Arabidopsis thaliana: one gene and its partner. The protein of the gene in region 2 interacts with the protein of the main gene of each other region in a pairwise test. Each region holds a gene or a part of one and is shown on either strand. Other genes may lie near its edges.

Region 1 (4,373 bases), on a different chromosome or scaffold from region 2:
CAATCTTCGTGATGGTCGTGAAGAAGCAGCAATGGTGATCTTTGGAGCAATTGATGAACTTCTTGCAGCGACCAAAATCAATGTGAAGCATATCAAGATCCTGGTGCTAAACTGCGGAGTCCTCAACACCACGCCATCTCTATCGGCCATGGTGATTAACCATTATAAGCTGAGGCATAACACAGAGAGCTACAATCTTGGTGGTATGGGGTGTAGCGCCGGAGTCATAGCCATTGATTTAGCCAAAGATCTTTTAAACGCTCATCAAGGCTCTTACGCTTTGGTGGTGAGCACTGAGATAGTAAGCTTCACTTGGTACTCAGGTAATGACGTCGCGTTGCTTCCACCAAATTGCTTCTTTCGAATGGGAGCAGCTGCAGTTATGCTATCTAGTCGGCGTATCGACAGATGGCGAGCCAAATACCAACTTATGCAGGTGAGAAGAACAAAGAAACACTCTGATTTACTCTTGCTCTGTTCTTTGTTTTGACTGATGACATTGTAACTGGTGAATAAAACAGCTAGTAAGAACCCATAAAGGCATGGAAGACACAAGTTACAAGAGCATAGAGTTAAGAGAAGACAGAGATGGGAAACAAGGACTATATGTATCTAGAGATGTAATGGAAGTTGGGCGCCATGCACTGAAAGCAAACATTGCAACGCTTGGTCGTCTTGAGCCTTCCTTTGAACATATATGCGTATTAGCATCGAGTAAGAAAGTACTTGATGACATTCATAAGGATCTCAAGTTGACAGAAGAGAATATGGAGGCATCAAGACGGACATTGGAGCGTTTCGGGAACACATCAAGCAGCAGTATATGGTACGAGCTGGCTTACCTAGAACACAAGGCGAAGATGAAAAGAGGAGATAGGGTTTGGCAAATCGGTTTCGGGTCAGGGTTTAAATGCAATAGTGTTGTATGGAAAGCCCTAAAAAACATTGACCCTCCAAGACATAACAACCCATGGAATCTCTGAGGATTCATCAAAGTTAACAATTGTATGATAACATGAATAAAATAACCCACCAATGCAAAATCCACAATTTATTCAAATAGTGTGATTGCATTTGAACATATCCCTGATGCTAGGATCTTACATTAATAAGGTAAACAAACAATAAAGAGACGCAATCTACTCTTGATTTACTCATCTGTTTCAGTAGCTAAAAACTGAGCTTAATTATGCACATAAGGATGAGACGTTGCAACCTTTTTATATATATTATGCAACAGACATGAAGTTGAAGAATGACATACTGTAGGAGCAAAAGTTGCAACCATGGAAAAAGCTAAAAATTGAAGCTTTGTAATGTTCCATTCTCTTACACAAAGATGCTACTATCTGGAGCCACTAGACCCTCAAGTTTCCATCCACCAGGCCCGGACAGCGCAAAAGCCTGTGATGGCCAAAAGAAAGAATTAGCTCCAAATCAAAGAAAAAGCGAGCTCATGCATATCTGAAAAAAGGATTGAATCAACAAACTTCTTCCCAGGAGTTGCCAAAAGCCTGAAGCAAAGCAGCATTGCATGTTTTCAACTTAATAGAAGCTCCAGAGAGCATGGAAGCTGCTTCTTCCCAACCCTTATTATGCCCCATACACCTATATGTATCAATCAAATAAGAAATGATAACACAGCACAAGTAAGATGAAGCAAAAAAGATTGATGAGAAACTAACATGATAGTGGAGATATCAGGGGTTGAATATTTGGAGATAATGTTTTGAAGATGCTCGGCTGTTTGGCCATCCATAGCAGCAATGGAGTAAAAGCTAGGAATGAAATGTACATTTGCCTCCATAAACCCATCTACTTGAGCCTGCATCGACTTCAGTGTCTCTCTAGTCCGAGTGGCGTCGCTGTGAAGTGAATGATTTCAACAATTCTCAATCACGAAATGAAAAACAAAACTGATAATTTGAAGAAGGAACTTACCTTGAGAGAATAAGTTGGGGAAGCCAACCGAGTGAGGAGAGGATTTGAGCTACTTTGGCAGCATCTGCTTCTCCGGTTTTACTTAGAGGACGATCATGGTCTATCGTTAAGACACAGACAGAGAGAAAGAGAGACATTAAAGATTTGATTTTTCGATTTTGAGCGAGAAAGAGGAGAATCAGAGTACCTCTGAGGGAAAGATCATCCCAGGAACTGTGAGCGTGACGGAGAAGGATAAGACGGCGAGAGATTGAGGTCGACGGAGAAGCAGCGAAGTCACTGACCGCACGAAGTGGAGCCGTGGAGCAAGAATTGGTGCTCCGATTTGGGACGGAGATGAAGAAAGGAGGAAGACACTGCAAGCTAAGCATCTCTGGCTTGATTTTTAGTTAAAGAAAGGTAATTTCTTTATTTCTAATCCTTCGCCGTGAAATTTAAAGATAAGATCGGTACTCAGTTGTTCCAAGGTAGAAGTAAGGACCCAGAGAGAAAAAGTTTTGAACTTGAGACCTCTGAGGAACCGTTGGTCGAGATTTTGATCAGTTTGCCAACGAAAGTCCAATGAGAATCAAGTGCTTCTCGAAGCTCTGGTTCTTCCTCATCGAACAAGGACCGTTGCAAATTTGCAATCAACTTACAACATAACAAGCAACAGAAGAGCTACAGAAGTAGACACTAAATTAAGAAATTTTGAGTGACCAAAGCTCACAAGTCACACAAGTAGCAATTTTACATTGTATGATACATTTATGGAAAGGAAACTTGGTGGAGATAAATTTAGCTTGGGGATCTTCATTATCATCCCTACCTCTGAATTGGATGTAGCATGACTTGTTCATGTCATTGGAGTTCTCTGTTTACACTGCCTAGAAACAAGATTACCACAACTATAAGCTTTTGAAAAGATATGGTTTCATTTTCAACTTAGAATGAATACAAGATGATACACTAAGCTCTAATGATTTGCATTACAAAAACTCTTCAAAGCGATTCTTTTCACATTCTTTATGATCCAATAGGCTAAGCCTTATTCACCCGAATCTTCTGTCCTTCCAGCAACTGCATTTTAAAACCAACAACAAAATGAGACAAAAAGATTATGCACACTCTATAGTCGAAGAAGATGGAACAGTTGAGAGATACTTACCGAATTGTTAAGAGCAACAATGGCTGCTTCCACATCTTCTTCAGAAGAAAACGTAACGAATCCAAACCCGGTGGATTTGGAAGTTCCAGGTACTCTTGAAACCTTAGCACTTACTACTTTCCCTTTCTCAGAAAACAAATTCTCAAGCATCTCTTTTGTAACAGTCTTTGCTAGATTCCCAACATACACTTTGTAAGGGCTATCTACAAATGCTGAATCCTCAGACTGAAGAACTGATAAATCAGGTGATGATGCTATAGGTTTCTCTGTAATGTTAACCTTTATCTCACGCCCTTCAACGGTCTGAGAAACCAAAAACAAGCTCTGTCATATTCAGAACTAAAATGTATAGAACGAAGCAGTTAAGGGTTCAAAAACTTACATTGCCATTCAATTTCTCAACCACAGCATTAGCATCTTCAACTGATTTCATTGTAGCAAACCCAAATCGACGGCTTCTTCCTGAATACTTATCATACATCACCTGATGATATCAACACAACATCAAATAACAAATCTTGATGATAACTAACTAAGAAATAATAGAAGAAGGAGATGTTATGAATAAAAACCTGAACTTTTTCAACAGCACCGTGTTCTTCAACAAGTTTAGTGAGCTGCTCATTGGTCACCGTCCTGGGTATGTTACCGATATACACACGCCTGGCAGCTTCTGAACTAGGGTCCAAAGCGGCGGGTTTTTCTTCCGTCTCCGTTACAGCATAAGGAATGAATCTCGTTCTAGAGCTCCGGGAGAAAGTTCCAGCGAGAGAAGGAAAGGGTTTCGAGGAGAATACATTGACCCGTGTATGCAAAGGAGTGAAGGATTCGGACTGGAATGAGAAGATTGTAGGTTTGATTGAAACAACATTTGTTAGGAAAGTCGCCATTGTAGCAGGAGAGTGTAGGTGTCGATAAGGAAGAAGTTGCGAGTGTCGTCAACATTATCCATTAGCCGTCCTCACTTCTAACCTGTGTGGATAATTGGGCCTTATTAAGGCCTATAATTTGGGCCTAGAAACATTACCCATTTACCCGTCTCTCACGCCGCAGACTTAAACTTAAATGGGTTGATATACACTTAGGTACTTGTTCGGGTTACGCCTGACCACTGTTTTGGCCAGTGACAACATCACTACAGGCCACTGTTCATCTTCATCATTGATGGAAGATGAACATAAATGAAGTATGTGATGATCATTAATGGTTGATCGAAATTGATGTATCCACTCCATGATTCTTCGTTGTTAGTCGAGTTCAATCTAGTGTCCCTCTAAAGTCTAGA
Region 2 (4,908 bases):
TAGAATTTTGGCTCTCCAGGTAAAGATCCCTTATAGCTGATACTTGTTTCCCCCCTCAGTTTCTCTCATTTGTGGTTGTGTGATTTTTGGTTATTATTATAGGAAGAGAAAAGAAAAATGGTTGCGTCTGCCTTTGGTGAAGATCATGGTGGAAGCTCTGCAACTCGATTAACAGTTGATGATCTCAAATATCTATTCATGGTGTAGCTGTTCTTAAATCTTGGGTTGGCGAAGTTTCGCTTCTTTCAGAATTTTGATCATGAGCTGCATTCTTGTGTTCTTCAGGTTCACAGATTTGAAATGAGGAAATATGTAAATAACTTAGCTGTTGTCTCATAGTATATATAACATCAGAGTATATACTTTTTCTGAATCAGTTCATCCGAGATCTTCTTTCCTTTTGGGATCACATTACTCTTTCAATCTTATTATCAAGGTGTTTTGATCATGCAACACTTTTGCATGAGAAACACTCTGTGAATTTGCTAAGACAAGATAAAGACTAGATTGCTTAAACAAAATTCAAATATAAATGAAGCAAGAAGATTAGGTTAAACTAGATTCAATGTAAATGAAGCACGTGAACTTTAGGTTACAAAGTATTTGGACAGCAGATAAGTCGTATACTCTTTGGATAGTGAACATGTCCTTTAGTAACCTAAATATATATACCGAGTTTAAGTTATTTACAATACACAAATGACAAGATCACCTGCTTAAAGATAGGCAAAGTTTGGCTGGTCTCTGAAAGAATTTGGAGTTCTGAACTTGAACCGATCATCAAATTAGTTATCTTCAGCTCAAATTGGATTTGGTTTGGTATTACACCCACACCAGACCAAATTGAACCAACACACAAAGGCTTTACATGCAGAGGCAGTAGAAGCATTTAAGCCAAAATAGCATAAAGAGACAGAAAGTCACCATCACAAAACAACTAAGATTGTGTCCCCATGTATACAAAAAAGAAAGGGACTCTGCTCATAACCAAAATAGAAGACAAACTGTAATATATCATTCACTTCCTGCATCTCCAAGCTGATACCGAGTATAGAGGTCGATCTTGCCAGCAAATTACTGCGCACCCGCTCTCTTCCTTGATTCTATACCCATCAAAACCGCACCCTTGAAGCAATCTCCTAGCCTGCAACATCGCATAATAGCTAAGAGGAACATTCCCAAAACCAGCCAAATCGATCCTCTGGCTCCATTTCTCAAGCTTCTCGTGTCTTTCTCTTCTCTCAAATCCCTCGCAGGATATGATGTTCTTGATCTCCTCCCCGAAGAGCATCTTCTCCACTTTGATCCTATCTTGAGACGTTCTTGGAACTTTTGTTTCCAAGCAATCAAACAATGCTGCGTAGGTGTAAAGTGATTCTAATAGCCTCTCCATTAGTGTGGAGCCGTTGTGGTCTGAGTCTTGCTCAGTGACCACCATGACCTTTGGAGACAAACCCCAAATAGCATTGAGGAAGCTATCAGTCCTTCCTGAACTTGGTAAAGGCAAAGATGAGGCCGAGTCACCGCTAGGGCTATACCCATTGTTGTTACTCATATCATTCTCACGTGCCTCAGCTGCAGAGCCATGGCTCATCATTAGAACTCTCTGCAAGTCAACTCCACTAGGGTTGTTCTGAAACCGTAAAGCGCAGTTCTTTCTCATGAGATCATCATCAGAGGCCAAGAAGGTATGCAATTGAAGAACCGAGCTAACGGCTAAGGCCTCTCCTGTTTTAACCCGCAACTGTTCTACATTTAAACAGTCTAACCTACTCACAACGGGATTAAACTGAAACGGGATATCGAGTTTCTCTGCTTCCTCAATGAGTCTATGAGCCATTTGTTCAAGCACTTCCTTCTGGTGATGAACACCAGTGATTCTCAAATGAGGTGGACCTTCAGGCCTAGAGTTAAAAGCTTGAAGCAAAGCAAGCCATTGAGCTGGCTCAGAAGCATCGAGATCAATCACATGAACCATCTTCTCTCCTTCCATAGCCTCGAGTATAGCTCGATTAGTGAGCAAGTAAGAGACTTTGAGTATCGGGAACATCTCAAAGAAGAGTCTTCTAACATGAATCTCCTCAGAGACATTGTTAGTTCTTGTCTGAGTTGCGTTAAGAGCCTTGTAAAGACCAGGCCAGGACTTAAGGATTCTGTTAGCAAGCGCTTCGGTGAAGTAAGCAGCGATTCGCTGCATCGTGTCGCCGTCAGGAGAAGCGAGGTGAGAGAGCTGCTCGAGCGCTGCGTTAGCGTTTTGGAGGCTACCTGAAGCCACGTGGTTGGCACAAGTTAGCAAGAGGTGGATTAAGTAGAGACCACGCTCCTCTGGTTTGAGATCTTTGAGACAATGAAACGGAGATGAAGAAGCGAGGAGAGTCGGTCTGTTGAGTGACATAGTTGAGAAGACTTGAAGTGGTGATGAAGCTACAGAAGATGTTCCATTATCTTCTTGAAACATAGCCACCATTGAAGGCCAAAAGCTTGATTTTGATTTACTCAGAACCAAAAGTAACCTTTTTTGTAAAGAAAGATTTAAACTTTGAGAGACTCGTAACGAGAAGAACCAAACCCACGATTCGGAATTTCTTGAAAGATGCAGAGAATCTGCAGTTTAACAAAAAAGGGGGTTAAAGAACAGAGGAACTAGGGTTTGCAGAGAAAGTACTGAATTTTAAAAACCTTTGAATCTAGTTAAACTATTTGAAATAGATATAGACGAAGAAACACAAACAGAGAGCTGAATTAAAACTTTCCTAATTTGATAAACTAAGAAAGAAACAAAACAAAATAATAGCAAATGATCAAAGAAGATAACAAACAACAATAACCAAAGAAAAAAACTTACATGGATTTAGAGAAAATGTCTAAAGCTTTTTTTTTGGGAGTGAGAGGGTTCTCTCAATCTTTATCTCTCTATCCACGTCTCTGGTGGTTATCTTGTGAGTAATAGCGTGTGTGTGAAATGTTGTTTGTGTTTTGGGAAAAAACTTTAAGAAAGAAAACACTAAAACAGAGGCATTGTTCCTTTTGGCTCTACGTACCAGACAATGCGTGATAGTCGGTTTTGTCTTCTTCCTTTTTGTTTTTTTCGTTTCCTCTTTCTTCTTTCCTTGGTTTTAAGGAATTATTAAACAAAAGGTTGTCAAATTTTCCAATCCCATCCATCTATCTTATACTATTATGTGTACTAGTACTACATGAATGAATATCATATAAGAATACGTATTTTGATTTTGAGTGCTCTTAAAGTGGTGTAACATTAATAAATAAAACTGAATGAGAGTGTATTAGCTTATGTTGCATTTATAAATAAAACTGAATAAGAATACATCCATCAATCTTATACTATTATGTGTATTAGCTAATGTTGCATTTTCATTTTCTTTTAAATTTGTAAGACTTGTAGGAATTAGTCTTATTGATTATTTTTATAGTTATTATTTTATATAAAGTCAAGATAAGAGAAGTTTCACCTAGAATTTTCTTGATTTAGAGGAACTAAGAAGAAAAAGCAACACTTAATTATGAAGGAAGAAGAAGTTCAATGAACCCATTTGGCATTATACAAATTGGAATTATCTTATAATAGATACATACACGAATACAACATATATGTCTGTATTCGAGATTGGAACCTCCACTTTTATGGGTTTTTGTCATGGCATGAGGTGGATTTGGAATCATGACTATATATTTCTACATCAAAAAAATTGTTAAAGAGAAAAAAAGAAAGCTGTTTTGGTAAAATATTGATTCTGAGAAGAAGGAAACGTCCAAACACGCCCTAACAAAGACAAAACAAAACCCAAAAACCATCTCTTTTGTTTTTGTTGTTTTGTTAGAAAAACAAATAACAATAAAAGAGATGAGGCTGAGGCTTGGGTGTGGGATTTGTCTGTCTTCTTTAAATGTTCATTGTCTTTTCATTACTTTTCTCTTTGTCTTTTTCTTCTTTTTAATGCCTACATTTTTGTCTTCTTCTCTTCTTTCTCTCTCTCTTTGTTTTTTACTGTGTGAGAGAGAACATTATTCAGTTTTTAAACTAAAAAGACCATTGACCAGAGAGATTCTACAGAAAAAGAATGATGCTATTTTACTACTATTGTACCTCAACTTTTTTTTCATCTTATCAATAGTAAAATAGTACTATAAAGTGAGAAAAATATGCATCCATAACAACACAGTAAAATTGTTTTAGTATGAAATTTGTTTAGCTTTGACTACAAATTAGAGAATGGTAAGTTTTTGTTATTAAAAACTTTGTAGTTAGATCTCATGATATCCAAACATAGAATCACAATTTTGCTGAAGGAGCTTGGTACGAAGACCGCCTCAGAAGTAAATGATGGTTCTGTTTTAGCAACTTTGGATGCTGCTACTCGGGTTGAGCTTCTGAGCTCCCCTTCTTATGTCTTTTTGTTTGAGCATTTGTCCTCGTAGCTTTTTGTGTATACTCTCCACGTGGAGGCAACTCTCGTTTAAAGTTGAATGAAATGTTAGTTTGACCAAAGAAAATAAAAAATAAAGAATCACAATTTTGTGAAAACTGTGTAATAGTAGTTTTGTGGATCCTCCAGAACACCAATTAAGTCTAAAAGTGAAGTCAACTTGATAATGTCGGTGAGTTCTTTGTGATTGAAAAACTGAAAGAACACTATCAATTCTTTGTGATTATTCATGTATTTTATAGGGTTCAAGTTCAATTAGTGCCTGTACTTATAAAAGACTTCATTTGATGTAGTTAAAATATTAGATGGATGAATCAACTTATTTGATGCATTAAGAAGCAGTATAATCAAAATATCAAATAATAAAATTAGAAAACGGCAGGCTAACTTTGATAATCTAGGGAAATACATAAGTGTAGCTAGAGATTTGAAAACCTATAGCATACAAATCAGCAAAAGA

The links. Proteins that work in one complex are often made in the same cells at the same time.
Region 1: the proteins of SCL3 (region 2) and AT3G52155 interact in binary tests that used the Arabidopsis thaliana proteins (3 or more experiments, as listed by UniProt).

Annotation. Positions count from the first base shown.
Region 1 is NC_003074.8:19,341,679-19,346,051, reverse strand, and holds AT3G52155 (Phosphoglycerate mutase family protein), read right to left. Parts: upstream 2,358-4,373; 5' UTR 2,313-2,357; coding exon 2,129-2,312; intron 2,096-2,128; exon of another isoform or gene 2,079-2,095; coding exon of another isoform or gene 2,042-2,078; coding exon 1,942-2,041; intron 1,866-1,941; coding exon 1,686-1,865; intron 1,609-1,685; coding exon 1,491-1,608; coding exon of another isoform or gene 1,482-1,490; exon of another isoform or gene 1,405-1,481; coding exon 1,334-1,404; coding exon of another isoform or gene 1,330-1,333; exon of another isoform or gene 984-1,329; coding exon of another isoform or gene 843-983; coding exon 839-842; downstream 1-838. Other genes in the region: KCS15 (3-ketoacyl-CoA synthase 15), read left to right, coding at 1-436, 522-983; PSRP2 (RNA-binding (RRM/RBD/RNP motifs) family protein), read right to left, coding at 2,962-3,000, 3,089-3,391, 3,471-3,572, 3,661-3,978.
Region 2 is NC_003070.9:18,677,159-18,682,066, forward strand, and holds SCL3 (scarecrow-like 3), read right to left. Parts: upstream 3,143-4,908; 5' UTR 2,846-3,142; intron 2,605-2,845; 5' UTR 2,468-2,604; coding exon 1,019-2,467; 3' UTR 536-1,018; downstream 1-535. Other genes in the region: AT1G50410 (SNF2 domain-containing protein / helicase domain-containing protein / zinc finger protein-like protein), read left to right, coding at 1-19, 103-207. UniProt on the Arabidopsis thaliana protein: Probable transcription factor involved in plant development.